3 linked regions of the Drosophila melanogaster genome follow. The gene in region 3 interacts genetically with the main gene of each other region. Each region holds a gene or a part of one and is shown on either strand. Other genes may lie near its edges.

Region 1 (11,064 bases), on a different chromosome or scaffold from region 3:
CACAGGTCCATCGTTGCCAGTCAAGCCAGTAGCGCCCTTGTCACCCTTGGCACCTGAACAAATGAAACCAAATGGTTCACATCAAATGTTCGAATGGGATACTGCAAAAACTTACCGGAAACTCCGGGAATACCAGCAGGTCCGCGCTTTCCGGGAGCACCAGTAACGCCAGCAAAGCCCTTGGGTCCGTCATTTCCAGGAGCACCACGGTCACCTTTGTTACCGGGCATGCCGACCAATCCGGGACTGCCGGGCTCACCCTTGGCGCCATCACGTCCACGCACACCATCAATACCAGGAACACCAGGAGGTCCGGCAACACCAGCGGGTCCGATCGGGCCCACGTCTCCCTTCTCACCAACAATTCCGGGACGTCCAGATACTCCGGGCAGACCGGCATCGCCTCTATCTCCAGGATATCCCACACTGCCATCGGCACCGGGAAAACCAATGGGTCCGGTTGGACCACGGTCGCCCTTCTCACCTTGCAGACCATTGAGACCGGGTGGGCCCATAGGGCCGGGTCTCGAAATACCAGGCTCTCCCCTCGGTCCAGGCTGTCCATTGCGTCCGGGAATGCCGCGAAGGCCGTCCTTGCCAGGATTACCAGGTACTCCGACAGCGCCCTGGTTGCCCTTTTCACCGCGAGGTCCATTCAAGCCGCGGGGTCCTTCAACGCCAGGAGGTCCCTGTGGTCCAGTGTTGCCCTTCAATCCGGTATAGCCCCTCTCTCCCGGGCTGCCGTCTTCTCCCGGAGGTCCTGGCATGCCGGTTTGGCCGGGCTCACCCTTGTTACCCTTGGCGGGCATCTTAATTTCGTCAAGCGCACAGCTACCGGGCTCTCCCTTCTCGCCGCTTCGGCCAAATGATCCCTTGTCGCCCTTTGCTCCGTCCCTTCCATGGAAGCCTGGCTCGCCCTTGATGGATTGACCGGGAATTCCGGGGTATCCGTCCCGCCCAGCGCGTCCGGGTGTTCCGTCGTTGCCGGGTGCTCCGCTCAAACCCTTCTCACCCTTGAAACCGAATTCTCCTTTGGGTCCAGGGATACCAGGCAGACCTTCTGCTCCCTTGAATCCTTGCACGCCCTTTGCACCTGGCGCACCAGGGTAACCCTTGTCACCCTTCAATGGCTCAATCAAACTCAAATCGCACAGAGCAGGTTTGCCAGGCTCTCCAGTTGCTCCGGGAAGACCAGTGCGACCGTCCTCTCCCTTCTCACCAGGCGGTCCAGTTTGTCCGTTGATTCCATCGTGTCCACGCTCTCCGGGATATCCGCGCTCTCCAGGCGGTCCTCGTGCGCCATCCTTTCCGGGAATTCCAGGCAGTCCGCTCGTTCCCTTATCACCCTTTGGTCCGGCCCTGCACGATGAGCATTTGCCGCCGACGTCACCCTTGATACCCATGTCTCCCTTTTGGCCAGGAGTGCCGGGACGACCAGCGTCTCCCTTTTGTCCAGGAGCACCAGCGGCACCGGGAGTTCCAGGACGACCCAGCTTGGAGTCACCGGGAGCACCAGCATTGCCCTTGAAGCCGCGCTCTCCCTTGCTACCCTTTAGTCCGGGATAACTAGGACGAACGAAAATTAATTCGAATTAAATAAGATCTTTAATGAAGGAAAGTAAGAACAGGACTCGGCTCCACAGTGGGACTCGACTGAGTGCTAGGACTATTAAATGAATCATTGCACTTACCCAGGTATGCCAGCATCTCCCTTAGATCCTTGAATGCCATAACCGGGCAAACCGGCGTCACCCTTCTGTCCCTCTGGTCCCGGTGGTCCTGGGTGTCCAATGGGTCCGATGGATCCCTTTGGTCCATTAAGTCCTGCGGTTCCCTTTTCTCCCTTTTTGCCAGGAGGTCCCTCGTTGCCGGGGCGACCGGGCAGACCAGCACCTCCCTTTTGTCCATTGTATCCCTGAGGACCCGGTAGTCCATCAACTCCGTTTAATCCCTGGGGTCCAGGTGCGCCAACATAGCCGCGGGGTCCTTTGGGTCCCGGGGGTCCTGGTGTTCCACGGCCACCGCCTGGCGGTCCCGGAGGACCGAGCAGACCAGGCTTACCTGTCGCTCCAGCACGTCCTGGCTCACCCTTCTGTCCGGGATTACCGGGCAGACCATTAAGGCCCGGCTCGCCACGATCTCCCTTTTGTCCTGTAGATCCTGGGGGTCCAAAGTTACCTTGGCGACCCTGTACGTATATATTTCATTATAGAGGTTTCAACTTCCACTTCGATTTGGAGCCTTAAGTATGAACTCGACTTACGCGATCGCCTGGGCCGCCGGGCAGACCCTTCTCGCCCTTCTGTCCATCGAGTCCAGTGTCGCCTTCAGGTCCGGGCTCACCCTTGCGGCCAACTAGGCCAGGCTCTCCCTTCTGTCCCATATCGCCGCGAGGTCCCATCACCGTGTGGGTCGGTTTGACGGGAAACGAGGACGCGGGCTCACCCTTCTCGCCCTTGATACCCGGTGCACCAGGCTTCATGGGTCCGTAGCAGGAGGCACCCTTCTCTCCCTTCAGACCGTGCTCACCCCGGGGTCCTTTGGCTCCGTAAGGTCCACTGTCGCCGCGCTCGCCCTTTTCTCCAGGAAATCCTTGTGGTCCAGCCAAACCGGCAGTCCCCCTCCAACCGGGCTCACCCTTCTCGCCCTTCGCGTAATCACCGTTCTCCTTTGCCGGTTCACCCTTCTCGCCCTTGCTGCCAAGCTGGCCGGCATATCCGCGAGGTCCGGGCATTCCGGATAGACCCTCCAAGCCAGGAATACCATCCTGTCCGTCGCAACCGTCTTTACCGTTGATACCAGGGGCTCCGGGATTGCCGGCGGGTCCCTGGACTCCGGGTACACCAGCCTGACCATGAAGACCAGGCGATCCGCGCTCACCCTTATCACCACGCTGTCCGTATGGGCCGGGATCACCCTTCTGACCCTTGTCACCAGATGGTCCCTCCATGCCAGGGAAACCCATTTCGCCCTTCAATCCCGTGGGTCCAAGAGGGCCCGGCAGACCACGGTTGCCCTTCTCCGCTATGCACTTGGGCACACAGCCCGCATATCCGGCCGTACAATTCTTGGGCGGCAGATCGCCGCGCGCCACGCCGGCAGAGTCTACAATGTCGTAACTGTCGTCGATTGGGAACTTGGGTTCATTTCGATTGTAGTGTTTCACGGAGTCCTGAATCGAACCGGCCGTACCAGCCGTCTTCCAAAATTGCTGCGGGGAAAAGGAGTATATTATTCAATGTCCAGATGGATGGCATGGGCTACGGTTATCTTACAGCGTCGGCACCGACTAACGCTCCCGCGATCACAGCGGCGTATAGCAGCCTGCAAAGAAGTCGACGAAGATCAGGAGGGTTAGGAACTGTGCTTCGTCTTATCAGTCTAGCTATTTAATTGGACATAGCTCTCTTCGATTGGCAGCTCTCTCTTAAGCCGTCAATTCAAGAGAGTTTGCTAAAGGCGCTTAAGAGAGAGCTTACAAGTTTTTAAGAGATCGCGCTTCGAAAAATTAAAAAAAAATTGAACAAATGTGATGTTTTAAATTATGTATTTTTGTATTGCTGATATCTAAAATATTAATTTAAAAACTAATATTTGCTCTTTCTGAATGGATTAGAAAGAAAAAAATTGGCAATACTTTTTTAGGCCATAACTGGGTTTTAATCATTAAAAATTTCAAAAAAATTTTAAATTTTTAAATAGAGTATTATTAGTTGTTAAGTAAGTATTATTGTCATGGTTTTTAATAATTAACAATTGCTTTCTTTGATTAACTTAAATTTTTGCAACCATTTGTATTATTTTTCTAACTTTTGTCATTTTTCTTACCGCTTCCAGAAGGGCAACATGATGCCCTATGCACTTAAGCCTGCACAATTATTTGCTCTGTCCTCGTCGAATTTGAAGTTTATATGTTGCCGTCGCTGGGCCTGGAAAGATGAGCCAGAGAATTGGGCACTTTAATTTCGCAACAGTTGCAAAATAAATTGGAAATATTCTTAGAGGAATATTATTTTATTTAATATTTGTGGGAAAATCGAGCTGGCTTATTTTTTTTCAACGATTTAATTCTTGTATTTCGTTTCATTTCATTTCCAAGCATATACACGCGACAGTTTGAGAGGCACTGGAACTGGTACGAGACTCGCACAACGACTTGCTGGATATTTTCAATTAATAGTACGCGTTCTTCCTGATTTAATTAAGATATTTTATGTTTATATTATTTTGTTGTTGTAAAAGCTCAGTTCCTTACAGGAATCAAATCCTATTTAAGGGACGGTTGGACGGGACGGGACGGGACCCTAATGGAAACACACATTCACAACCGAGCGATCCGATCCGAACCGATCACCACTCCACAGCGCTGACTAAAGACTAAAACCAGCTGGCCAGATCAGCTCCGGACCGAGACCAGACTACTACTTACTCGGGGAGACGGAACACGACTAATTATAGTATAAGTTCGAGCGATCCAAAAGCCAAACGCCGATGCCCCGATCTTCACTCGTCGATCGTTCGGCTTGGCACGATCTCGACGATCGGGTCTACGGCTCATGTACACTATCCGTGTGATTCGACGGGGATTGGATGGGCATCGGATCGGTTGCGATGGCTGCGAGGTGGCTGGTGGGAGGTGGGTGGTGGCACCATGGCATATAGAACGGATGGGCGACGGGTCGTCGTATGTAGCAACACTAATCCCACAAGTTAACATAGTCGCTGCGGAATGAATGAAACTTGGCGATAAGTCCGTCGCTGCTGTTGATATGCCACATGCGACTTAAGTTGCTCAATAGCACATCAGCTTCGTTCCGCCGGAGCACCTCCCCGGGAGCACCTTCAACCAGCTCTCCGGCTCCCAGATCCCAGCTTCCAGATCGCAGCTACCAGCTCCCATCTCAAAATTAGCTGATAGCCCCCGCCCTGAGATCGGGCACATGGCTTCCGTTTTGGTCCGCCCCTGCGGCTCCTGCTTTTTGGACTTTTTTCGGTGCTCGGGCAAGGGAAATTCCGAAGGCTTCGCTATCAGGCCAATGTTCTAATTATAACCTCATCAAAATTTTGTGTGTACTTACAATAAGTATGATAAAAATATCTAAAACTTAAAGGATAACAAAAACATGTGTAAACATTTTATTGGCATATACTTTACTTTTAATAGGATTATAGTCCTTTTCTAAGTTTTAAAAATATTCTCTAGCTTTCAAAACTGATATAATTAATTTGACAAAGGTTTTGAAGATTAAATCTCTTTTTAAGCTTTACTTGGTATATTTTTATTTGCTATATATAACTGATTATTCAAATCATTCCATTCTTTTCTAAAACAAAATATTTTAGTTTGATTGATTTTAGTATGTCGATGCAATTATTGTTTCAAAGAATGGTCTTTTTTCGATTTTTTTTGTATCTATCTACGCTTTATTAAAACTAAATGTATCTTAAATGAAATTTCATTTTAAGTGCCAAGTTTTATACATACTTAAAATAATTATTGTTATTTAATTAATAATAATTATTGAGATCCATTCATTTTGATAGTAAGTACGACATAATACTTACTAATACCGCTCTAAACATAAATTAATAAGATTTTAAGTTGCCGAAGTGCGACATCATTTAATATCCTAATCACAGCAGTTTCCTGAGAAGACATATATTCAGGCCACTGGGCCATATCCGACTTGCACGTACCCTAGAACAAAAGAGCTTTCCCAACTAGAACGAGGCCTTGATTATAGCCGCCCTATCAAGACTTATTTCAAAACACTGTGGCCCCGAAACCCAAAATCAGGCTCGAATTTCGAAAGGTTCCCATTTGGCTTTTCTGCGTCGGACTTATTGGAGCTTAAAACTCATGTTCGGTTTTCAGTTGATCAGTAGTTCGTTCTAACAGGAAATACTCAGCCATATCCGTCTTATCAGCCTCACATATGCCATATATGTAAGTACTAAATGAAAAAGCCTTAACCTAATCACGAGAAGCGCGACAAACAAACTAGCATCTAATTGTATTGAAATCACTAGGATAGCTGGGATTGAGTATTAGAATAGCTTTTACCCCGCAAGAAATATCGTGTGTCGCTAGTTGGAACTATCATTTAAGTTATATGCGGATGGTTATTATGTATAAATGGTATGTGCCTGTTAGTAATAGTTAGTAATAGTAACATTAATTAATAAATTATTTAATAATTTGTATTTTCCCAAGAGACGTGCCTAATAAAAAGAACAAAGTGAGAATCTGATTGATCATACCCCTTCAGGGATACGGTACCAAAATGGGAAATAGAATTTGTATGCTTAGAATCGGGCCGCTTTGATTTGGTTAGAGGGCTCTGCTCCTCATTTCCTCGTTTCAAGGCGTCAAAGTGCTAAATTCCGAACCATAACCAGAGCCCGGAGTCACATCTACATCCAAACCTCCATCCAAATCTCCATCCAAAACATCCATCCGGGCCTGTCCCTGGCCTGTGCCTACTACACTCACACTGCTGCAACTTCCACTTGCGATAGTATTGGTGGGCCGAGAGCCGATCGCGAACGGCCGAACTTTTACGAGTGGAGCCGAGCGTGCCGAGTGTGCGGGCGAAGAATTCGAATTTCTTTAGCGGGACTCGTGTTTAGTAATACTTCGAACGCTAGACGATCTCCACATGTGGGGAGAGTGCTGTGCCCGACGATCGCAGCAGCAGCAAATCAGCGTTTTCTGTTAGTTTCCCACACTTTTCCGATCGTCAACTCTTTAATACTTGATTTGCTAATGTCGGTTTTATTTGAGGGCATTTTATAAGAATCGAAAATTCTTCAATTTCTAATTTTATGCTTATTTCGTTGGCAGTTTCGTGTGTGTTTTAAGCGGGGAGAGACAGAGGCAATTAGATAGAGTGCGACATAAATACGTTGCGGATAGGACCAAAGGACCCAGCGAGGATGTTACCCAGAGATCTAAGGCATCTCTCGGGTCTTCTGGGCGTCGTTTATCTGTTGGGCAGCCTGGTTTCCGTTACCTTGGCGGATGGAAAGGTAAGTGCAATCGAAATGCTTAGTATAATATCCAAAAATTGACAGCTCTTTAAAGACTTGGATTGAGAAATGTATAGATTGTAGTGCAATAACTTTTTTCAACTTTTTTTTATGTCTTAAAACAACTTAGGAAATGATATTTAAAATAAGGCTCTTACTATTTAAAGTGCTTCTCAGACCATAACCGTTTGAATTTTATGAGATTGCTAAATACTAACCAAAGTGCTTGTCAAACTGTATATGCCTATTTCATTAACGCAGCATTTTTAAGTTACTTGAAGCTTATAACAATAATATTCTTAATTAACTTTGAAAGAAAATTATCATGTCCACCAATGCTCTCCAAACTGTATCCGTAGTCATTGATTTCGCATTTACATAGTATCAACCATAAACAACTATGTAAAATTGGGTCAGCTCGGAGCTCGACTCTTAATCACCGCTGCTATTGTTATTGTTATTCTGCAGCACTGCACTCTCTGATTTATTCACACTTCCGGCATGAAAACATCGCGTAGTTGCAACTCTTTGGCTTCGACAGATAATTCCTTTCAGCTCGTTCCCGATTCCGGGGGTTCAATGAAGTCCAAGTCCAGCTTGGGATCGATTATGTCATTAAATAATTTTGGCAACATAATTTTGTAGGTGAAGAGGTTGGCGATAACGCCCATTGATAACCCCCCTAATCTTTCAATTTGGAGGACATTGCTTTTTTGGCATACCAATTGTGGTTCGCCATTGAACGTTTCCGGCTGGCAATTAGAATTATATTTAATAACCGCCAGATTAGTCGCTTAATTGGCATATAATCATTTGTAAAATGAAACGGGAATGAGTATGAAAAACAAAGAATGCGCAGGTTCTTAGTTATTACCCCAATTGAATAGATTATTATTCAAAATAAGACACATTAACCATTGAGGTTGCGAATATTTCATTTATTTATGAATGATTTTTTAAGCAAACACAAAAATGATTTGACACAAAAGTGCGAGGCAAACGCAATACTCAATGTTGCCCCAAAAACTATGCACTACTTTTTAACACCGAGTTGCCCAATTCAGTGTACCTTGTGTATGTACCAAATTAAATTGAGTATTAATATTTAAATGGCTAGGGATCACAGAGATTTCGTAATGCTGGATGAAAAATGGAGCACATGCCGGCGGCACCTACTTTTTGATGGCATTCGGCTGGTCTTATCAGGCTGCGACTGATCTACACACATTTAATTAGACCTATTGCTATGTTGGCGGCATTGACGCCATTGATAGCATGTTCCGCTGATTGCGACATGGCTTTCTAGACTCGAATTTAGAATAAATACACTTTAGAATTGAAACAAGTGTCGCCAGCAGTCGCAGAGGCTATCGGCTTGGCTTGACTTTATTGCCTTTACCAGAGATCAGAGTTTAGTTTTCATACCAGTTGAGCAGTTAACTCAATGCACAATTCGTGCACTCAATTCGTTGGGATCTGGAAATCTGGCCCCATCGCTCACGTGTTTGCCATCATAAGTGTGCAGCTCGTCTGACGACTTTGGTAATCCGATCCACAGCTCTTTTCGCACTCGGTTACGTGGTCAATGCCATGGGCTTGGGACCCTAACTCCCGGATTCCGAGTGAGAGCTGCCAGGTCTCCAGGTCTTGTGGGTTGCCAATGGAGGACTAACCGCAAAACGATGAAAAACTTGACTTCGCTTAGCTACCGTTGCTCGTGTTACCCTCACGATAAGCGAAGGCTTACAAAAAAAGTTGTTTCACTTGCAACAGTATTTGAAAACGATATAATTAATTATATCCTGGGTGCATTAAGCTAATCTGAATAGAAGGGGATTCACATTTTTCGCTGGAATTAGTTTTGATTAGAAACACACATTGTATGTATGCCATTATTTACAATCTATAAAGAAATTTATAAAGGGAATTATCTGCTATGAGTAAGATATATTCATACTTAATGTTTTTAAGGGTATTTATTCCAGCATCATTTGAATATACTTATTAAACAGTTAACAGCTCTCAGGCAATGGCTCTAAAACTGTTCTCGCAATGGGTTTTGCAACCAGTTTGGCGCTTCATTAGCCGAACAAATGATTTCCTTTTCCGTTCCGCGAAAAGAGAGCCGATCGCTTAAGAGCCGCTTCAATCGAAGAGCAGAAGAGACAGAGAGAGATGAACTCATCGATTGCAGATGCAGCTGAGGCTTTCAATGAATGAATTTTGATAAATGGTCTTTATCAGTCGCTCTCCCCACTTTACCACTGCACCACTACCCCATGCACCCTTTCTCTTTTCTCCTGCACTTGCCCAGCTATAAATACATATATGGAAATGCCGTTATTGCCTGTGAATAAGTGTGCTCTTTCGCCAGTGCGCTTGTGTGTGTGTGCGCAGTTCGATTCCGACAATTAGCAGCAGCTCAAGTGATCGGTGAGGGGCTCTCTTGGAGAATCACTGGAATTGAAATGAAGAAGGGTTGCCGGGGTATGGCGACTTCAGGGGGTGAGGGGGTCGGCAATCTTTTGACGTTCTGCACCATTTCAAATTGGAATTGAAAGTTCTTGGCTGTTTGTTGTTTTGTTGCTTCTGCGGCGGCTGCTGCTGCCGTCCAAAGTCTTAGAAACTTCGATGGTGCACTTAGAAAAATCTTAACTACATACAAAACAATATCAAATAAATACATAATCTAAAACCTTCGAAATTTACCATGAATTCCGAAATTTTCTTATAAAAAGCTTGTAAAAATATTGTATTATATTGAATTGGTTATTTAAGAAGAGGAGTAATTTCTATCAAATTATAAAATTATGATCTAGCGGGTTTGATTATTGCCACTCAACCATTTCTTTCCGTGCACCTTCCCTTTCAGTCTTCAGTTTCGTTCTCCTTGGGTTTTGTTTATTCCCGATCCTGGTCCAAAGTGACCCGATGCTGCTGGCATAAATCACTGACCACCGCCGGCCAGACTGAGCGGGGCCAACTGGTGATGGGTGTCCAGCTGGTGGAGGGGATTTCGATCCAACTGAAGACCGCCCAAGAAAACGAAGAGCGGGGGCAGCAGCTCGGAGCTCGGACAACAATGATCATCATCTCATTGTTGGACTCCTTGTGGAAGTTTATTTGCGTGCTTGAGCTGAATTGTTTGGCGAGTTGCATTTCAATTTGACTCAATTATTTATTTATCTGCAACTGAATGCGGAAATTATGCGGAGTCTCGCTCTCTATATGTACGTGTATGTGTGTGTGTGTGTGTGTGTGCGATATGGACAACATGTCGTATGAGTGATATGGGCAGGGGCCACTTAGTAGCCGCCTTTGTAATGAATTTCGTGAATTGAAACGATTATTTATGAGCGAAGCTAGTGAAATTGGGTTATCAGTCATCTGTCTCATAACTGCAGCTCGCTCTTCTCCTTTTTTTTTTGCCGCCTTATCAGTCCGTACGGGCTCATGAAATTGATATTCATCTGAGCATTTGAAATTCTATACATATATACATATATTTAGACACTATATGGCATGTACATATGCATATGTGTACAATGTATGATGCGATTCCATTGCTGAGATTCCATTTCAGACGGCAGACATCTACTGTCATGGCTAAAAATAAATTCTGCTTAATTTGCTTGGTTAACTTTCTAGTGCTTTGATTGTCTGAATTATTTGCAGGCCATTGAGATGGTTAACCAATGGCTTCATGATTTCAAGCGATTTATAACTGGGTGAAATCTAACTGGCAGCTCCTTTGATGCAAAATTCGAACGATAATGGTTGCTGGCATGATGTGACTTATGATTTTAAGTGCATTTTCAAAAGGTAACAATATAGTTTCCCAATCTGACGAATGTATGTACATACTTTGATAGGCGATTCAATCACTTGGCGCTTCCTTATCGCCACCTTATTGACGATCGTTGCGAATATTAAGTTGTGACAGCCCGCTGTCCATCAATTTCAATGTTAATTTGAGTGCACGGCAATTAGTTATCATCTGTCAGGCTTGTGTCCAAACAATTATGCGCCACGATG
Region 2 (11,024 bases), on a different chromosome or scaffold from region 3:
ATACGAAGAAAAACTTGTGCAAATGAAGCGTTAAATTGACTGAGTGCTGAAGGCGAGGCGAGGTAAAGGAAAACTCGTCCTGCAACTAAAATGGCAAAAAGAAAAGGAAAGGAAACTTGCTGCACTGCACGGGGCTTGCCATTGACGTCTTTAATTGATCGAAACATGGCAACTGAATACAATCACTTGATAGTCTCGGCGAATATCGCGAATATTTACCAAAATTCATTTCATAAATAAACATACATAAGTATTTATTTTGATATCTGTTCTTACATCTGTCAGTTTAATTTGAATTTCCGAAAATTCGATCATATTCAACGCTTTCCATTTCGCAGTTTGAGGGTTTTTTTTTTTGCAATTTTTATGCTCAGTTCTTTGTGTTACCCATTATTTGGGGTTTTTAATGGGGGCACTTGAGTTTGCAGGCATTTCGGTTTAAAATTAGGGTAATTTGCTTATTTTGCGACTTTATTTAAAACATTTTTTCAAATCCATAGTTTGTTATTGTTCCAAACAACTTTGACACTTGCAACTAAAGGGTATGTGCAAAGCGCTTCGATTTTGCGTGAAAGTCTTTCCCTTTCAGACTTGCAGGCCATACTTATATGTATATACAATATATTTTTTATGACTGTCAGTTGTGCCGCGTTTGGCAACAGAATTTGTTTAAACGCAGCGCCGGCAGGGTGAAAAATCAATTTTTTATTGCCCTGTTGCTTCAGTTGGCTGCTGTGTTGCTTTTGTTTAGATTTTAGCCAGATTTATTAGCTTAGCAGGCAGCAAGAGAAGCGCTTCTTTTCTCAGCGTTTTATTACTGCTGTTGGCCCCAGCAAAGTTGACAAGTCCCGCCGATTGCACTGAGAAAAATCGGTAGTTAATATCTGCAAATATAACTAGATGATCAAAAGTTGTTGATTAAGTATAAATGAAAAGCAGCAATATTTATTTGATTTGCACATTTGATTCAGTTGCTCCGAATCTTTTCAGTGGTTGGAACAATAAAAGCAGGCGGTGGTGCTGTGAACTGGGGGCGTGGCCCAGGTGCCCGGTGCAAGAATCTATTTGCCTTTTGATTGCCTTTTAATTACTGAGCAGCAAATAAACATAAACAATGGCGTTTGGCGAAAAATAGAAGATCTGTATTTAGCCGGAGCAAAAAGCATATGCACATATAAAACGAAACGAAAACAGACTCAAAAAACAAAAATATTAATGATTAAGCTCGGTAATTGGAAATAAAAAAAAGAGGCAGAAAAAAAGAGCAACGGCCTTCTTTGGTTTGGCTTTGTTTTTCTCCTTTTCTAACAGTTTTAATCTTTTATCTTTACTTGCGTTTAAAACTCGCCTCGAAGTTGGGAAACTAATTGAACTAAACTAATTGGTGCAATGCGTTTGTAAAACCAAAGTAGCAATGTTTCCACCACCAAAAACAAAGCCGTGCAGATAAATTAATTAATTAAGTAGTGCCGCCTTTGATGGCAAATCCGACGTCTTCTATGGTTTTTTATTAGATCAGACTGCGACGAGCGGATCAGGGATCGGGATTATGTCCATCTCAAGAGACAGGTGGCAAGTAGAACGGTGGGTGGAATGACCATGAACTTCCTCATGGAAGATTTTGTCCCAAATCATTTCCAGACGACGTTTAATTGTCGAATTGACCCAACCCCTCATGGAACCTGACTACTTGTGTTATCTGCAAATCCTCCTCTCCTAGGCTTTCAACTTTCGCCGCCGACCTTTTGGCAGTCTTGTTGCGACTTTCTGCCCGCCCCCAAAAAATTCGCACAGAAGGAGATCAATTTAATTAATGCGAAATGCGAATTGAAACCGAAATTAAATTTCAATGCCACAATGTACTCTCAGATGCGTATTGATGAGCGGCTGGCTCAATTAAGCTAAAAGCTTCGACCAAAAAGGGCTTGCCAAAAACTGAGTGAAAGCCGGCCAAACAATTAGCAACTGCCTTGGTAACTCAACAGACGAGCCCGGTGAGACCTTTTCCGCAGCAGGACACACACACACACACACACCATCCACACGCAGACTGCCCGGCAATTGCACAACAATCGGTTTGAAATTATGGACATGGGATGCTGCCTCCCAGATGCTAACCAGCTCCTTTCCCACACCACTAACACCGAAGGTTGGTTCCATCCATCTTATGCAAACTGCAGTTTTCAACTTGTTACCTGCCACTTGTTGGGCTTTACGGGGGAACAGAACTGTTCGTTGGGTTTTCGCGTAACCGACTTTCCTTGAAATTCGATTTAAACGTACATTGTACATATATCTATGTGTACGGCAGTCGATTTTGCGAGTTGGGAAGCTTGTTGATTGGCAAAGATAGCTTCGCACTGTCCTAGAACTTGGGCTGGAATGTCAGCTGCAGGTGCGCAAGAAACACAAAAAAAAAAAAAATAAATAAATAAGTAAAATAAAATAAACTATACACACTTATGGTTTCATAGTTTTTACACATACGTAATTCTGCTAGCAATCATTTACGAGTCACTAGATGTTAGATTTTCCTGAATGGCAGCGTTCTTCTTTTGAACAATGGAAACCTTGGAATATCGCTCATACGCCATGTTGAACACAACTTGACCTGTTACACTGGGCGTATGAGTTATATTTTTTGCAAACTTTACCCCAATAAGCTGTTTCGCTGTGTATTTCCTGTTCAATTGTAGAAAATAATTAAACAGGCGTAAAGGCTATTTTTACCGGATGCAAAAATAGAAAGCAGCTCTGTGGCTTGAAATCATTCATGGCAACAATTAGTTTTCAATTACAAAATATCGTCCTCGTCTAATTCACTAGCACATTTTACCCAGGCCTTTACGTATGCAAAAGTAAACAAGTTGCCATTGCGAAACACGTGACTGGGCCAGAAAATGGGAAAGGCGAGTATTTAGTGTGAAAGTCGAAAGTCGGTAACGGAAACCAAAAATGTGCTCGGAAAATGTAAAAGTGAGTGCAAAAAACGAGGGCGGAATGTAAATGGGACAGGGATATCTTCATTGTTGTCAAAAGGATATATGGACAAATGGAAAATAACCCTTAAATCTATTATTAAGCACTTCAAAAAAATGTCATTTTCTGGATTGTCCGTGTGGCCACATTTGACAACCAATTTGACAAGTAGATGAGATCCTGTAAGTCACCTATTTCATAAACTCTTAATGTGTGATTAAATTGAAACAGCTTGTTCTTTAATAATTGAATTTTATTCAGTTAAAAACTTATACTTTTGGTGGCAAACGCTTTAGGAAAGCTTTTTTGTTGACTTGGCTAAAAGCTTTTGTGCAATGGCTCTCAAACTGTAGCTAGCTTTCGATTGCAAATGTGGCTAACAGAATCGTGTACTCACCACTCGACGACTGTGGTGAGTTCGGTAAATTAAAAATATTTTTTTTTTTTTTTTGTTTTTTGGTTTTTCTCACCGTTGATAACCTTTATAGGTTACGGACTTAGGTTGATAATTCTAATTGTTTCAGCACTTGCTCCAATTTTGATGTGATAACATTTGACTCCCTAAATTGAATGAAATGCTCGAGAGTGCACACATGTCTAAATATTAAATGATTTGAGCAGTTGAAAAAACAAGTGCTACGAAAGTCGAACAGATGTCATTGCTTTTCAATTGAAGAAAATATGTTCAAGAATCGCACTGCGACCAATAAAACATTGAAATGAATTTGTGCACAATTTTACTAAAATTTATAATGTTATCTTATCACTAATTTATAAACTTAACACCTAGGCAAAGCTCAATATTAAGCACGTATTTGTGTATTTGGTGTCTATCTAGCTAATTTCTCCAAGTGTATACAGACCATTGCCATTATTTTCAATAGCGTATTCAACAATTTTCTGCGTGTATTTTTAGTACCTTTTCTTATCTGCGAACGGAAGCTGTGGCCACTTGTGAGCGTTCACCATTTAAATATTAAATATATTTTACATTAGCAAAGGCGAAAAAGGGGAGGAACAGGGAAACGAACCTGAGGAATGGGCCAATTATTCCAGGAGATGGGGCCCTAAAAAATCGCAACGTGTCCATTGGTCCTCCATGTGGGGCGTCGGCATCCAAGTCCGGTAATTCACCCTCACGCATGCGTCATTTTCGGATGTCATTGGGTCAGGCGCCAATGGGAAGCCGCCTTTTTGGTGGTGTTGACAGGGGGGGGGGGGGTGGTGGCTAAATCGGCTGAAGGTCACGGATTGTGGCCGGTCCTATGGCCAGTTGACAAACCGACTTAACCGCCAAAGCCGACGAGCCCGAAATGCTAATATCACATGGATGTCCGTCCTGCCAAACTTGTATTGTGTTGAATATTTAAAATAGTGCTTTGCATCAATTTTAGACCGATGACTGCACATTTAAGATGATTTGCTCACATGGTTGTATGTATGTTTTAGGTGCGCCAAGAATTAATTGTCCATAAACACTAATATTCGTAGGAACAGCGAGTAAAGGCTATAAAGTTCGTGTTTCAAATACGTTTTCACTGGTGTTTGGCTTTCCTACGCGAATTGCATCAGCATTTTATTGGACTCTCCTTTTTTTTTGAGTGTCAAATTCAAAGAACTTCAATAAAAAAATGTGCGAGGAGAGCGCCGCTTTTCGTGGGAGTGAGTGGGATAATTTGCAAACCGGCTGCCGCAGCAACAACGAAAGGTGAAAAGAGAGCAAGGAGCAACGGTTTTCACTTGTTTATCAGTTGACCCAGAGAGCGAGAGCCACTTGGGCGGGTGTTGAGTAAAAAAAAATGGGGGAGGGGGGGCTTACTATCCAACTAAAGTGATAGTTACTTTTTTTTTTCTATCGTTACGGCCTTAAATGCTGCTTTAGCCGACTGGCTAAATCGCGACTACGCTCCGCAAATAAGGATGGACAGGCAGAGCGAGAGGAGAGAGAGCAGGCGCAGCTAACTCTGCGTAAGCGGACACCCACGCATGTGAGCGAGAGAGGGATAGAGGGAGAGGGTAAGGGAGAGAGAGAGTGCGGTGCATCGACGCAACAGGCTTGCAATGGCCATTAAGCGCCGTTAAACAATAACAAGAGCACGCAAATCGCTTCGGCTCCGTCGCGCTTTCGGCCTTCGTGCGTCTTCGGGCGACGCCGGCAGAGCAGAGGCAGCGATGGGAATCGCAGCAACGGTTCTTAGACATTAGGTTGCGCGCCATCGTTCCAGGCGGTCGCACATTCCACGGTGTGCTGTCCCTTTGTTTTCTGTGTGACTCTGACTCTCTTGTGGGGAGCGTTTGTCTTTTTTTTTTTTTGAGTGCTCTCACATCCTCGAAGTGCCGAAATTTTGAAAATCCCCGACAAGATATCCTGGTGATATCGGTTCAACGTTTAAACAAAAACCCAAGCCCTGCTCCTTTTTTTTCATTCATTAACTAGTGTGATCCCAAAAAGGAACCCATACTCGCAACGAATACGAATAGTGTCCATCGCGTGTGAAACGAAACTAAAGAATAAGGAATGAAACAAGAAAATAAAGCGAAAAGGCGGAAAAGCGAACAGAAAGAGGGGAAACAAATATCGGCTCGTCCAGGAGCGAACAGATGATCAAAGGGGATCATTCGGATTTTTCGAAGAAACTTCTGAAACATGACGGTTTCTCTGGTTTTTAATTCGGATTTGGTTTCACCAAAGCCAAAAAATTTTGCTGATGTCAAATCACCGATTTGCTTCCCCTTTTTCCGTGCGCGGAGAAAAAAATCCCCAGAAACATAATATCAGGATGCTCTCTATCTCTGTCTCTGTCTAACGCTTAATTGTTGCTCAATTGCGAATTAATGTCTGGGGCTTTTTTTCTCCGTGCAGTGCCATAGCCGTAACCACAACCTGCCAGCCGTTTAAAGCCAAACTAAACAAAACGAACCGAAACTGCCTTCACAAAGTACCTAAGCCAAACCTAAATAGCTGCCAAAAGAAACCAAAACCGCCGTTACCCGGAAAAGAGATGATGGGATCGCCGGGATCCCAAGCGTCCGCGATCGCGACCTCGGTCGGAATCAGAAGCGGGCGGAGAGGTCAAGCGGGAGGATCGTTGCTCCTGCGCCTCCTTGCCGTGACCTTCGTCCTCGCCGCCTGCCACGCACCGCTGCTGACCAATGCCAAGGTGAGTTCGACCCTCTTGTTGGGATATGTAGTATTATAATTATTACATTGCTATTTGAGGCCCAGGAATGCAGTTAACAATTTGATTAGTTCTATTCGGTGACATGATCCTAACAGCCGCTTACCATTCACATGACCATTGCCCATCAGCTGATGCACATCCCATTCGAGATCGGTAACCCAATGATCTCTTATTCCGGATGACACAACTCTGGGTTCCGCGACGAACTTGAACTATTTAGCATGACACACATACGAGTATTGTTTTTTTTTCCCAATAGGCGGGACAGACAGACACAAAACGAGCGCCACCAGTGATTAGCATAAAAATGTATTTATTGTAAGTGGTTTGGAAAATAGTTTTCCTCCACTCGCCATCAAATTAGGAAGTTGAGCCGGGCTTCGAGGCTTCAGGGTTTCGGAGCTCGGTTACGGACAATGTTAAGGACCGGATTTCGAGTTGAGCAGAGGCCAAAAAAATAGATCACCAAGTCCATTGGGCCGGGGTCATCATCGCAGGTTATCACTCTCTCGAAAAAACAGACGCTGAATTAATTTCTTTTCACAAATTCGGATCGAGTTCAGATGCTGGCTTTTGAATTTGATGCGATTGTGTTCGGATGGCTTTGCCAATTATTATGAGAAGTCGATTGTTTCAGTTCCAAATTCTATCTTTGTGCCTGAAGGAGGGAGGGGTCGCTGTGTGTGTGTGTGCGAGTGTGTGTGTGTATGTTTTCCACCATAATGAGCTTTGATGATAGCGCGTTATCAGCGTGTTAATGACATGTTGCCCACAGACATTTGCTTGCAATGAAATAATTTCTTTAATTAACATTTAAAATCACTGAACGTTTGTGAATGTTTCAATGGCTTTTGTGAACGGACGGCAGTACCTGCTGGACAATTCTGGTACTCTGCTTGATTTTGTCGAGCATGTCGTTTCCATTCGATTTGTTTTGCTGCAGCGCTCACACTTTTTATCACATCGGAAGTTGCGTAAATGAGGCCAAATTCGAACACATGTACACATACATACATACGGGGGCTATGTCGCCTGCTCAGGGCTTATCGGTGGGACTGGGACTGGGAGTGGGACGGGAATGGGAGCCACACTTTGAAGAAGGAACCACTGCAAATCGGACTGCAAACGAGGTCACTGCTGCAGCACGATAGCTCCATCCTCCGCTTTTGCCCATCCGGCGTATGCGTATTGCCGGTCATCGGACATTGCGCATACGATCAGGTGGCACGGTGCCCCTTGGGGCATTCGATATCGTTTATCTTGGGTTTTATTCGTTTTTAAATTGATAGCTGAACTTGACTGAAAAGCACATATGCTAGCTATCAATAATCAGTTTAAACACCATACGTTATGTCACCATTCCTTTCTTTTTGGCAAACTGTGCAACTCGCCACTGATTCCATAGTGTTTCTTGAAAGTCTGAAGCGCAAAGTACAACTCACTGCATATGGCAACTTCTGATGCTTCAAACTGATATTCGCCTGGCAAGCGAATTGTGCTGCTCTGTTTACATCGACAGATGGGTCCTCATTCGATGGCCCTTTTCCGGCTTTCCAAGGGTATCCGATCCCTCACCCCCCACCCTTCTTGGCCCTTGGCTTGTATATCGCTCATCACATCACGCCCCGTTGTGTGCCCCGATATCTGTCAAACAAACTGTCAAAATATTTGCATCATCAACAACACAACTGCAAAGCGAATAAGAAAAAAAAAAAAAAAAAAATTAAAGCACAAAACGGCAGCCAACAGATGAGAAAATATCATTTCGCAGCTTTTTTGACTCGCCCGTATCGTTTTGGTTTCTTTTTCAGCTTTTCGGATTATGTTTTCTTTGTTTTTCATTGGTCTGAAGATGCGTTCGTTGGCACATTCCCTTCGGTTTTCAGTTCTCCTTGTTTTTCGGTTTTCTGGTTTTCTTGTTTCCGTGGCTTCACGGTTTCTGTTTGTTTGTGCAACATATGGACACAAGATGTTGTACCCCCGATCACACATGTGACCGGCTGCTTGGCTGCCTGGCTGTTTGTGTATCTGCCTCATTCTGCTGGCCTTATTGAATCGCTGGGAAATGGCCTTTAAGTTGAAAAGGCGTGGATCAGTTGATTTCAATATAAGCTAATACCTTCAATCAAGTTTCACTTGCCGAATAAAATGTTTTTTTTTTTTTTTTTTTGCAAGTAAAATATGTAACATTTGTATATAGCCCAACCTCTTTTCCTGTGTACCGAAAACATTCGCACAGCGATCACATGCAGTTTCACGGGAAGCGTCATGCGAGCATTTGTTTAAATATTACGCTGGGGCTGTCTAATACACCAACCCACCAACCCTACACCCCCCCTCACCCACTTGAGCTCAAGTTCAGACATTGACCAAGGGGCGGGGACTCGATAAGGAGGCGGGGCCGCGGGGGCAGAGACAACTGGCACACTTAAAACTGTTTATGCGAGATGTGCGAGGTGCGAGGTGCGAGTGAAGTGTCTGGCTCGCTTTTCCCTTCCTATTTGTGGAACTGTATATGAAACGCTGATTGGCGATATCGCCGAGTGTTGGCTTTGTCAAATTGGCATTGCCAGATGCCAGGCTTCCATTGCCATTAGTCACTGGGGCAGCCGCATTTGACCTGGTCGGGAGGGATCCTTAGATGCCCAGACCGGGCGATTCATTTCTGCGGATCCGGAATCTATTTTCCCTGGCTGACGTATGCATTTCTGTAAGGAAAGAACTGGTGGAATCTGGGAGTCAATGGGGAGAGGCAAGGCTATGAGGCAAGCATTTAAAAATAGATGGCGACAAGATACCAGAGACGAAAGTTTTCGATTCGAGGCGGAGCATTAAAGTTGGGAACTCGGAGTGGCTAAATCGGCCAATACCCTATAATGCAACGCGACAAAATGATGCATCGCAACACGTAGATAAGCCGAATTTTCTTGTCTTGTGAAATGCAATTAGAACGTGTTTTTTATTGCACATGTGGAATTGATTACTAATTGAAAATCAACACCTATTCTGTTGTGATACACCTGATACACCAACTGATGTTCTTTAGAGTTCATTCCACCCTCGAATATTTCGCCACAAAAATGCGAACAGGGATCCGCTGAGGTATTTGCCTCATAGACTAAACATTGAAAAATAACTCCAAAGTGTAGGGTAAACCAATTTCTCAGCCTGACTTTTCATTTCTCACTTCGCAGTCCCCAACCAACTATTGTAATTTAATATTTGCATGGCGCGTCTGTGGGGCACAAGTATACTACATATATATATATATATATATATGTATATATACATAATATATGTGAGCTGCCCGCATATGAGCAATTATTGTTTGACTATTGCATTGCGTAAATTTTGAAAATAGAAAAAAGCAGCGAGAAAATACAAAAAATCATCCCAGCACCCATTAACAGCATTTCTAGGATGGGGAAATTCCTAAACTGTCGCAATTTGCCTTCTGAGTTATTGCAAAATGCAGGAGGCCGTGTGGGTGGACATACATATATAGCTATCTAGATATATATATATATATATATATCGTGTCATCATCCCAATCCCACTGAACACAAGACATACGAAAAGTAAAGACACATTGTTCGCACACATGATGCCATAAAATGTGTTTGAAAACTGCATTTAAATTTTCCATTTAAGCAAAAAAAAAAAAAAAAAGAAGCGATTATAGAGCTTAGAATATTGTCGCCAAGAATCGAAGCTGATGATCCCATCGCGAAACTTAGTATGCAAGGCAATCGGCGTATTTTTTTTTTTTTTTTTTTTTTGGGTAGGTCTCATTCGAAATTCAAGGCATCGCAGGGCTCATCGATAAAGGCGATTTAAGCCATAGAGATTCTAAGATTGTTCGGCTTTGATTTAGATAACACGTCAAGCGAAATGATTGTACAAATAGATAGAAATAGGGGAAAGGATGCAAATGATTTTGAAATACAGTACAAGAAAAGATATTTGAAATAAACTGATCACGTTCTTTTATATCTTTAGCAAAATGTTAAATGTATTTAGACTCTATTTAAAACTCTAATGATCGGATCTTCGAGTTCCATTAATCGTATGTCATTTGAAAGTCTCTGATTGATAGTCAAAATCAGATACACATTTTCGAAGATTATACAAAACGGGTTTAAATCTATGGGGCGAATTAATGGGTGAAACTTTTTTGAATGCCGAGCCGAATTCAGATGAATGAGTTTAATTGGCCGAAAATGTTAGGGGCGATTTTTCAATTGGCGGAATTGACTGCCAATTACAGATCGATCTTTGCGTCCATCCTAATCGTTAATCATAATCAGTGCGCCGGAAATTGGAAAAATGAAACATGAAAAATGAAAATGAATTGAAACATGAAAATATGAAAATATCGACAATGCGGGTGACATCAGCTTCTGTTCGGCGGCAATCGCTTCCATGAATCTTAAACGCTTTTTTATTTCGGGGGAAATTAAAAAATGCCTCACAGCGATCGAGAGATATATCCATATACAATATGCATATGTATATACGCGTATCCATGTGGCGTCTGCCCAATTTTGATGCCAATGGAGTTGCATCATCCTCATCGTCATGATTCGGAGCATGACGAAGTCAAGGGAAAACGAAGATAAATAAAAAAGGAGGCTCCCATTTCAATGGAAATTCACATTTCAATTTGTATTAATTGCTGCTCGGGCCCAAATGGCGAAATAAATTTAACAATCAATTCCGAATCGCCCCCCCCCCAGTGGCTGCCAAACTGCGCTGAAGTCCGCGCCAATTAATTAGTAAACAAAGCATAAGAGCAGCAATCAAACAAGCCAAAAAACAAAAAAAACGATGCATAATTATGCAAATTCGTTAATTTGCCATTGC
Region 3 (11,005 bases):
CTATCTCATTGCATTTGTATCGTTAAAACGTGTGTTCGTATTATTCAATATGTGAAATGTAAATAAATAATAAATAAAACAGGTTGATTTAGTAATGACTTTAAAACGCTTTTCTATGCTAATGGAGCGGTCTTTTTTGTCTTTGGTTACTGCTAAGTTGCCGAAACCGTTAGGCAAATGCCCTGCGGCTAGGATGGTGATCATTCGACTTTGGCAAACGGAGAGCGTGTGGCAATAATGCGATTATACTACGTTGTATATATATATATATGTGTCAGCAGGTATCGCTCGGGGTTCCCAGAATAGGGAATAGTGCGGCAGCGTTTTCTGCTGAACTCCGTAAGGCTTTGCGGTCCAGGAACTGCATGGCACCACTGGGCGTATACGTGATGCGCCATCAAGCCAACGACATCACTTGTCCAATAAATCATATAATATCATATCATCCCATAAATAAGCAACACCCCGCATAGATCGAAGCCCAAGAACCGCAATGCCACGTCTGCCATTCCCAGGAATCGAAACAAAGGCTCAGCAGACACATATAAATCGCCACAAATATCGAAATTCCTCCTCCTTGAAATATTAATAAAAGGCAGTGAGGGAGCAATAATAAAACAATACGGAAAAAACTGGCGCTGCCATTAAGGAACCTTCTTCTTTTTGTATTTAGATCGCGGACTGCGTTCGGCTTATGCTGCACCCATTCGCCAGCGATGATAAAGCGATGATGCCCCAAGGTTTCCAAATGGCTTTCAAATAAGTGCCGAGCCCGTCTGCCCAGCTAAGCCACTTCTGACTTCTGACTTCTGTATTCAGAATTGAGAAGAGTTTAGCATATGAATAAAGCCGCACCGCACCGCCCCAAAGAGTCCGTCCACTTCCACGTTTCGTCTCGTCTCGTCTGAGTTCGAATACGCATCTGAATGTGAATTGGAGTCCCATATTTATATGCAAAACAACAGAATCGATGATCCAGCATTTGCCTTGACCGTCAAGATGGGAGCGATGATGCCACCGACGCGGCGGGGCCAAACGATAATTAAAAGAGTGTCGTTAAAAATAAAATATAATGGACTTATGTAAAGCGATGTTACACGCTCCAACTCCAAAATGGCCACAAACGCGATAAGTCGGCTCACAACAAATGGCAGCAAATAAATAAAAAATCATTAAGATAGGCTCGCGGAACGGCCAGATAAGTCGACCAACTTTTGGGCCGACCCGTTCAACTGGGGATGCGGACTGGGGATGGGGACCAGAAACTAAACACCAAATAAAGCATTCGAATGGACCCCGAAGACAATCAAGCCGAGATGAAACCAGCTTGTGCTCTATGGGCGGTTCTGGCCTTTTGATGTAAGCCCACCACCATCAGTCAGTTAAACAAATTTGTATTTCCCAAAATATCCAAATAATTTGTTGAAAAATTCATTCACGACCTGCGCGCAGCAGAGACACTCGCACACACAAGATACAAAATCGATAGAAAAATCACCAGATTCAACAGATTCACCAGAATGTGAAGAAAAATTGGACAGGTAATTATTAGAGGTGTTTTCGCCTTGAGTGGATTAGCTCGGCTGGCGGGAATGGACACTGGCCCCCAATTATGCTAATACCACGCCGAAAAAGGCCGCTAAAATCCATATTTAAATTATTAACATAGAAACCGCGGCTGGGCCAACGCCGAATTCGGTGTCCAAAAGCAACTCCTAGCCAGATTGAACATGTTTAACATTAATCTTGACTGATAAATTAAAAAGGAATTAATTAAGATGAGCAATCACTTGTCAGGCCCGGAATGCTTTGATCATATTTTCCTACACACTTCCTATGGCTCAGATGTAATTAATTAGCGTGGTAAACAATACAAATATGATTACTACTTATAAGTCAATGATTAATTTATAGGCAAGGTGGCTTGTAGTCGTTAACTTTTATGTTTAAGGGATCTACAACATTTTTGAAAAGTGTTCAAATGCTTAGAAATCAGAATAGAGTATGTCAGTGTCGGCTCTCTTGCTCGAAATAATTCCCTAGAGTTTTATAAGTATTTTTTTCATCATTTTGACAGTTTTCGTTTGCTAGAAAATGAGCAAAATTGCTTTTATGGGGAACGTGGGTGGTTTCCCGAGGGGAGGGGTGGGGGATGCGGGCCTTCGCAGAAGTGTTTGCATTCAGATCACGTATATATCTTTTGGCGAAAAAAATTGTATTAAATTCAAAATAACCAGCTTAAAGCATAAGCACAGCACCCCAAAGTCACGCCCCGGCATCACACCTAAAATTATTTGCTCGTTTTCTGGCCTTTTTACTGCCTGTGGTTTATTTCTATTTTGTTCTCTGACGGCATTAATATTCCGACAAATTATTTGTCACCCCATCCACCATGCAAAGGGCTGCAAGGACACGCCCTACTCATTTGCATGAGAATCGGTATACAGAATGATGGTTATGTGTGGCATTAATCACGGGTAGACGAGCTGAATATTTTACGATCATTAATCGTCGTTGGTCACAATTCGATTTTCTTCGGGGTCTTCGGGGGTTATCCATCTAGTTTTGGGTGGATGGATGGTCATATACTCGTCGCATATTCGACAGCACCCACATATTGAGTGGTACTTTTTAAGCAACTGACAAATTGAGCATTTCAGTCATCTTTTCTCTACTTTTCTTATATTTTTCTGGTGTCACTGAACTCTTCAAATTTTCATCGTTATACCCTTGCTAAGGGTATATTGCTTTCAGTCAGGAATTTGCAACGCAGTAAAGAAGACAATCTACAGCCTTTCGCTTTTGATCAGAAACGGACAACCTTATCATATCATATAAAATGTCTAGCAAATCAATGAAAAACTAATCCCAGCTTAGTTGTTTTTTAATCATAATGCGTTCTAATTCGGTACACACCAAATTTGTGATTTGACATTCGATTTTAATTTGTTCAAACTCTGCAAATAATTACTGCAAGGGTGTATAAGTTTCGGTTTTCCGAAACTAGCATATTTTTTTGTTTTTATTTAAAGTAGACGAAATAAATTGAAAAAAGAGAACAGAGAAACACGCGCAAAGCGACGACGTACGACTCAAAAAAAAAAACTAAATAAATAAATAAAAAAAAAAGACAAAACGCGAAACAGAAACAAAAAGCAAGAAAATAAATATTCAAATTCTACACATTGTGAAAATTTTATTGTCGAAATACAAATTGGACGGCGCAGCCTTACTTACATGCATGTATTTCCCGACTTCTCAGATTCTAGGCGCCACGCGAAAAACTAGAAAATCTATTTTCGAAACATTCACAACAGCGAGTGAATCGAGTCGCACCGCACTGAATATGTCACAATTACTCATGTGCTTCTAAAATGCCAAGCGATGTGCATACGAGTTTATACATACAACCCAAATAGACAGTACATCCTATTCCCATTCGATCCCGAGGGGGTTACGTTGCCACACATGGCCCGTTATCAGTGGCAGTTGGGCCTACAGACTTCACCACTCGCGCACCCAACATTATTATGCATTATTATGTATTCATGGACCGGGGGATCGTGTCGTTTTTCACATTTTACATTGCCCGCCAGGCGGACGTTGATAAAATTCTAATGGCCTGTAAGCCAGCTAGCCAGTTAGCCAGTTAGCCAGCTTGCCAGTTAGCCAGTAAGCCGTGATTTAGGCATGTTTCCATTCACGTTGTTGTCACGTCCCGAAACAAACGCTTTTCACACCTTGTTGAGCTCTGTAAATCGTAGTTATGTGCTGTTTCCACCCAGGTCGTGTGTAACTGCAATACCATTTCCTTAAACCGAACTTGAAAATGTTTATCGAAATTTGCATCTTAATTCGTCGTCTGCCTCGCACTAATGGGCAAAAAAAAGTTCGTACCCAATCCTGTCTGGAATATGGAATATCAGTGACATCCAGACAGGGGCGTCTTTGTTCTTTATCTCTATTAGATATCTTTTATGTTCTTATCTCCTGTGGGACATGTGCTCCCGATGCTGCAGAATCTTTCGCTTTCCCGAAAATTGTTGCTGCAGAGCTAGAGCAAGATAGTGGCAACCTGGCGGAAACACACGTCCGACATACATCAGCAGACCCTGTGTGACGCAAATGGATGGATTATGAGTCAGCTAAAGAAGTGGGAGCTGCAAACCCAAACCAAAAGGAATAGTTTGATGACCAGATTGCTTGATATATGAATGCACTTCGTGGAGGCGCTCTGGCGCATTTGGATCGAAGTGCTTCGAACACGTTGCCATCTTCAGTCTGTTTGAAGCTGTCGAACGGTGAGGTTGCCGAGAATCCTATCGTGGATCCAACTTGGGATCCAGATTCACATTTCCGCTGCCGCGTGCGCGGTGCTTCGTGGCCAGTGAGGCGTGTGAATTCAAATGCGGTGGTCAACGCTTTGGTTGTCGCTTTCTTTGTGTCGCCAGTGGTATTTAATCAAAATCGAATAGAGAGCCAGAGTGGCGGCAAAAGCAACAAAACAAAAAAAAAAATGAAATGAAATGAAATGAAACGAAATAAAACAATGCGGCATACAAAACGAGACGAGCACACCAAAATATCGGCAAATCAACCGAAATTATAAAAGAAAGGAAAGAACTCGACACATTGATGTGGAATCAATGCAATAAATTAACTTAAATTTGGTTTTCGCTTGGCCAGCCGATTTCGATAAAGTAGAAAAAAAAGAGAGAGAGAGACAGAGACGAATACAAACACAAATAAATGAAAAATCGTTAAAATCCCGGTCTGCGAATTCGATCAGCCCACGAAATTCGATGCGGCGGACTAGGCCTCCAAAAATATTTATACTTATGTAGAGCTCGGATTTAGGACCTACCTGTCTGCCCAGCAGCGGACCCTTGCTGATGAAGTCCTTCTTGGCCGAGTAGAGCTCCGGCGGTGGTCCTTTCAGCGAATACCGCAGGCCGGACTCCCCAAGGTCGTCCGTCGTCCCACGCAGACAGCGCTCAAGGGCACGCTCATCCTCGTCGTCATCGGAGGCGGTGGCTGAGCAGGCGGATGATACGCAAGAGGAGGAGCACGCGAAGGAGGTACGATCCCGAGCACCGGGAGATTCGCAGACAGTGGTACTATTCGTGCCAGTGCTGTGACCAGAAGTTGTGGACCGCAGTGTGGTGCTGGGATACGCGAAGGCGGGCAGGTCCGACAGCAGGCGATGGCACTCGACCTCCTGGCCGCCGGCGGGCGATTTAAGTGAACCGGCATCCGGCATGGACATGGCGATGACCAGATAAGATAGCGATCTCCAATCTCAGAAATCCGAAATCCCAAATGGCACGTGCAAAAATGCGCGCGAAAGAGCAACAAAATCCACAGTATGCGTATATACGGCTATACGTATATCTTGTAGATATATGTATCTTTACACTTATGTTGGCTCTATGGCTCTTTGGCTCTTTGGCTTTTTGCTTATTTTGTTAATTGAAATGCGACAGTCTCGTTCCGTTGCCGTGGGCACCGCACCCGCCAAAAAATGCGAAAATACGAACGAACAGAAAGGCAAAGACTACGGCTCGTGGGTATTAAAACGACTCACACTTATGGCTGCGATTAGCTAGATAAACTACTTAGTACTGGAGCCATTGTACGATCTCATGATGAATCTTTTTGCCGAATCACAGAATTTATTCGCAGTTGCGGTTGGGTTTTGGCCAATGTTAAGCTTGAACTTCACACATCGCGCCGAATGCATTCACTTTCGAGCTGCACCATTAACTTGGCCACCGTTGGCATTCTGAGTTGCTGGCTTTCTTTTCGCTTTCGGCCAGCGGCTATTTTTGCAAACTTTTCGGTGGCGAAGGTTGTCCCACAACTGAGCACCATGTCAGAGTTCACAAGAACACGCCGATCGTTTGGCATCGGCATCGCTATCGCCATCTGGCCGACATGGCTGGTCAGGATACGGAATACACTGGCGCACTGGGATGAATACGTATTCAAATTCGAATTAGAAATCGCAACTGGATTAATATTACAAATGGAACTTTAGCAATTGTCTGATACTACCGCGCGCGCGCAAATAAATGAAACGGACGAGAACGAGCCGATGGACCAGACCAATGCTGCGAACCAGAGAATTTGTATCTGTATCTGGCGATGTTTCGTTTCGGCTCGCTTGAGTTCCCGCTGCGGACTGAACACTGCTCGCCGAACAGCAGTTGGTAGCGGACGTTCCGCCGTACCGCCAAGCAATCTGAGATCGCGAACATATATCGCTCCGAAAGCTAAAAGCGGTTCTCTCGCAGCTATATGCTGTACAACATACATACATACATATGTACATATGTATGTACATACTCGTATGTAGGCACGAGTATAGGGATATGGGTTTGCTGAATGGGCTTAGGATTTCGATTCCGAAGGAGTGTTTTAGAGAGATTAGAAATACGTCAGAATCATATCAGTACGCAGAACAGCCGGCTTCTCTGCGCAGAGAGCGCTGTGGCGAAAAGAGAGCCGAGCGCGGCTTAAAAGAGCACTCGAACGCTCTCTTAAGTGCGCCTCTGCTTACTCAATATTTTTGCACATGTGAGGATTAAGTGTGTGGACATAATTATCATCGGATAAGATAAGGTGTGTTAGCATAGTAACAATCTTTGCATCTAGAGTATCTGCCTTTTCGGATGAAATAATATAAATATTAAAAAAAAAAAAAATAGGCTTATGCTGCATGCTTTATTCAGTAATAGTTTTTAAAAGTAATCAAAATTTGTAAACATGTTCACACTTGTGTGATACCAACCAATTTGAGTAAGTATGTACTTGAGTAAATAATAAAACTCTTTTTACTTATGACTTATTTTACTAGCCTATGCATTACTAATCGCACCGAGCAGTACTAAAAACTTTGAATACGAATTCTTTTGAAATAGAGGATAAGACCCTGGGCATTACCAGTGGTGCACTTCCGGAAGAAGTCATTTCGGAAGAAAAAAAGGAAGTTGATGATCACAGAGAATGGTACAATGATGACTAGCTCATCAGTATCAAAAAAAATTCTTTTTTTGACGTAAATAAACTGACACGACAGCCTTTACTCAGAAATGCGACAAATATAAAGATATATCTAAATAATCTACACAAGCTGAACAAACATATCGTAATAGTTTAGATAGGCAAGTGTAACTGATTTGTCTCAAATTGGTATCATTATAAACAATACTTTATACTTTATACTTTATATTGTCTCATTTGGGCATAGAGTGTGCGACATCTGCCGGATCCCAGCCCATCCAATGTGGGTCAAGATCAATCTACTGATCGCGTCAGTGAATAAAAATAGTAGCCATTCGCTCCATTATTTGAACGCCGAGAACTCTTCCACATAAATGTCTTCTGTGCCAAATTACCATATGTAGCAATTGACCCTATTGTATACTAAATATTTTCTTTAATCAAACGCAGCAATAAGAATTAATCAATTAAAAGACCAGAGCTCGTTTGCCAAATTAAAGTATAGTTGGAAATTAAAAATCCATTTCGCCGCCGTGGAGGTCGGCGAAAATTTAAAAATATTCCAAAATACGATGATGCATATTCATATACTACGGATGTTGCGAGAATGGTGGACTAATGAAAAACATCTCAAAAGATTCCAGGAAGAGCGTTCTCCATGCAACCATGCAATCGGCAACAAAACGCTTGTTTTGTAATCAACAACAAACAGCCGGCATCCAAATGATGCCAACATAAAACAGCAGCCATAACAGAACATCTTACAAAATAGCCCTAAAAGTCTGGAGGGGGCAAGTGAGTTCCCCAAGAAGGCTGTTTGTATTACACCGAACTAATCATCATGCCCTGTAAGCAATGTTTACACAGCCACTAAACAAAATAAACGACTCCTAGCTGGAGTCTCTCCCCAAGTCACTAATAAATTGCTCAGTCTAGCAAATCGCATACTGATCTGTAGGAAAGCATACGTTCTAAATTAGGAAATATTGCTCAAAGAGGCGCCGCTGGTTTTCAGATGCTAATGATCGAGCCACTGGAGACCGCTGACCACAATGTATCTATCTGTCTATCCATTTTTGTATCTATGCTATCTGCTCCGATCGCATTGTATCATCCTAATAATTAACGCATTTAGATCATAAGGCGGGCAGATAGCCATAAACTTTTGTTTAGCTGTTGATGCTTATATGGCAACAGCATAGATGGACTGGCCCCAACTTGGATTTGGATAGAGAATCACTTTCAGGTGGATACCCAATCCAGACCCCTTGTCCTGGCATTTGTGCAACTTCGATCTGCACGCTGGCGGCCTTCGTGTGGATCGAAGATCAATAAGCGAGAGGCTGTGAAGAGCCCTAGACTACGGATCACTATCGAATTCGAAGTCTTCAGATGTTCGATGTCAGACTGACTGTCTGTTTATCCGTCCGTGCGTCCAACACGCGCAGGCCTCTTAGTCAATTGCGTCTGTCCGTATGTCTGTCCGTATGTATGTATAATAATGGGTGAGCATGTCTAATGCGTGAGCTGGTTCGGCATTTCTATATGTTTATGCTCTGCTCTGATAGTTCCATTCAGTCGCTTTTTTTTTGCGCTCACCCACACACTTGATTGATAAATATTGATCCTGATTGAATGATCGAAAGCTTGCGAAAACCCGAAACAGCCATTCCAGCGATCCGTTCGGACCCGAGATCCAATCCAATCGGCAGGCCTGCGGAATTATTGAGAGCTCAGGTTTTGAAGTTCCTCTGACAGCTGCTCAATCAAATCGAATCAAATATTTGGGCTAACTAAACAAAAACCTTTCTTAAAGAGCCCCCAATTCCATGCCCACATCGATGATGTCTAAATTCTGGAAATTCGCAAAAATCAAACTCAATTACTGCCGCTGTCAATCAGCGGCAGGAATCGAATTGTGAATCGCCGGCATCCAAATCGGAATAGGAATAGAGAGGCATGCGTAAGAGGCATTTGTTGTACTCGTACTCCCATAGCTAGGTGGCGTATCTCAAAGATACATTTCACTTAACTGTATGGCATATATCATCCATTCAACTGCGGCACAGAGCAGCCACTACCATGACAGCACACGCAGATGGCGATGCTGATGCCGATCTAGATGGGAATCGGGGGTGATATGGATGGGGACGGGAATGGGGATCGCTGGGAGCCGGCCGACGTGCGTTGACCCTGAGACTTGCCCACACCCACCCACGCAACGCGAATAACATAAACTAATAGGGGTTTATATATATATATATATATATATAGATGCACAGAGGGAAACATGCTTTCCGAATCAAGACAAGACACTATTTTCGATTCCAGAGTCAGAGCCCTGACCAATTTGGATTTGTTTAAAAGAACAGAAAGTAGTCACCATGTGGTAATAATTTAAATATACTAAACAAAATGCGAATATATACACCCAAATTCCCTTTGCCCTTCAGATACATTTTCGATCAGTTCAGTACAGTTGAAATTGAATTTCTAAAGCAGCCATTACTTTTGTCAGTGTATCAGACTGTTCCTTGAGTTTAAGAACTGCAAATCATATCCTTGCAAAAATATTTATGGGTATCATGTGGAAAAGACTTGAAGTGAGTTGAAATTAAAAACATTTTAAAAGTAGCAGAAGTACAATGGCTAGCACCGCTCTATCGCCATAAAAGATGAGTGCTCGCTGAAAGGCATAGGATCATAAAAATTGACTAGAATTCAAGTACATACGCATGCATAACTCAATTTCCCGCTATCCATCCGGACTCTTTGAACTGTCTGCTAGTCTGTTAGTTCGGGGAAAGATATCCGCCATCTGTAGATGATTTCGACCCTAATCCGTCCCTGAACCGATCCAGAAATTCGCATTTCGCAAATCGGTTCAACACACGACGCTCGACTTTCAGTAATGCAACTCCTCGAGTGGCTAATGCACTTGCAAAAGACTTCAATTGAAAATTTTCATTTACACCAGGCTGGCCGGTCATTCAATGGATATGAATCGGTTTTATATAAGACTCCAAAATGAATATTTCTTCTGAATAATGCCTCCGTTCATTGATTCCAAAAACGTAATTGAATTCACAATGGCTGTGTGTCTGTGTGTGTCAGTTTGCCTGCAGGCGGCATATTCTTCAGTATTAGAAGTGGAAAAATTGTCGAAATCAAAATCGCACAGCATAATGCTACGAGTATAATGCCATATAGCTAAACTCGAGCCCAAATTATGTCGATTCTGCGCTGCATCAGCACTATCTCCGATTGCAGCAGCGAATTGAGCGGCTTTTAGCTTTGGATTTGGCATATGGCCTGATGTCCAATTTCTGATGGCTTTACTTTTGCTTTTGCCTTTGCTTTTGGGCTGACTGACTAAGCCTAAGCTTTTGTTTTGGCAATCAAAAGGAGCTTATTTCATGGAACTGCACATGCCACACACATTACACTGCTCGAAATGCCAGATTAAGCGGGAAAACTATATACATAGTTGGAATGTAATGAAACATCATCGCCAACTTTGGGTACACAGTGCTTATTAATGGGTAATTTCCGATAAGTAATGCATTTAATCTTAATTTATTTTTATAAACAATACTTGTTTTTTTTTTTTTTAACTACTGAAAATACTTTAATAATTTGTCAGTTAGTTTTTGAATAAAATACAGTTGCAAATAATATTTACCACAGCCATCGTTTTATTAATGAATAGGTAATGAACAGGTAAGTGGAATTTTCTTCCAGTGTAAGCACTTGATCCGACTCTGATTGCAACACCAATCGGCTGTCCCAGCTGTGCCACCACTCAGCTCCACAGCTGCACTGACGACGATCCAATCCGATGGGTGCGAAGATCATCTGCGTGGCTCGTGGAAGATGCCAGGTGAGCCGGGAGTTCGCCTTGAACCATTGACATTACTTGAGGCGCATTTTATTTACGCCCAGCATGATTAACTGATTAACTGACTGACTGACTAATTGACTAACTAACTGACTAACTGACTGA

What was found.
Region 1: of AdamTS-A (region 3) and vkg, changing one suppresses a phenotype caused by changing the other (phenotypic suppression), as found in Drosophila melanogaster (one study listed by BioGRID).
Region 2: of AdamTS-A (region 3) and trol, changing one suppresses a phenotype caused by changing the other (phenotypic suppression), as found in Drosophila melanogaster (one study listed by BioGRID).

The regions. Positions count from the first base shown.
Region 1 is NT_033779.5:5,023,002-5,034,065, reverse strand, and holds the start of vkg (viking), read left to right. Parts: upstream 1-5,874; 5' UTR 5,875-5,947; intron 5,948-6,620; exon of another isoform or gene 6,621-6,768; intron 6,769-6,844; 5' UTR 6,845-6,936; coding exon 6,937-7,029; intron 7,030-11,064. Other genes in the region: Col4a1 (collagen type IV alpha 1), read right to left, coding at 1-53, 116-1,566, 1,692-2,188, 2,264-3,211, 3,276-3,324, 3,829-3,848.
Region 2 is NC_004354.4:2,539,581-2,550,604, reverse strand, and holds the start of trol (terribly reduced optic lobes), read left to right. Parts: upstream 1-5,177; 5' UTR 5,178-5,222; intron 5,223-5,696; exon of another isoform or gene 5,697-5,842; 5' UTR 5,843-5,981; coding exon 5,982-6,140; intron 6,141-11,024.
Region 3 is NT_033777.3:15,470,023-15,481,027, forward strand, and holds the start of AdamTS-A (ADAM metallopeptidase with thrombospondin type 1 motif A), read right to left. Parts: upstream 6,172-11,005; 5' UTR 5,267-6,171; coding exon 4,865-5,266; intron 2,627-4,864; exon of another isoform or gene 2,116-2,626; intron 1-2,115.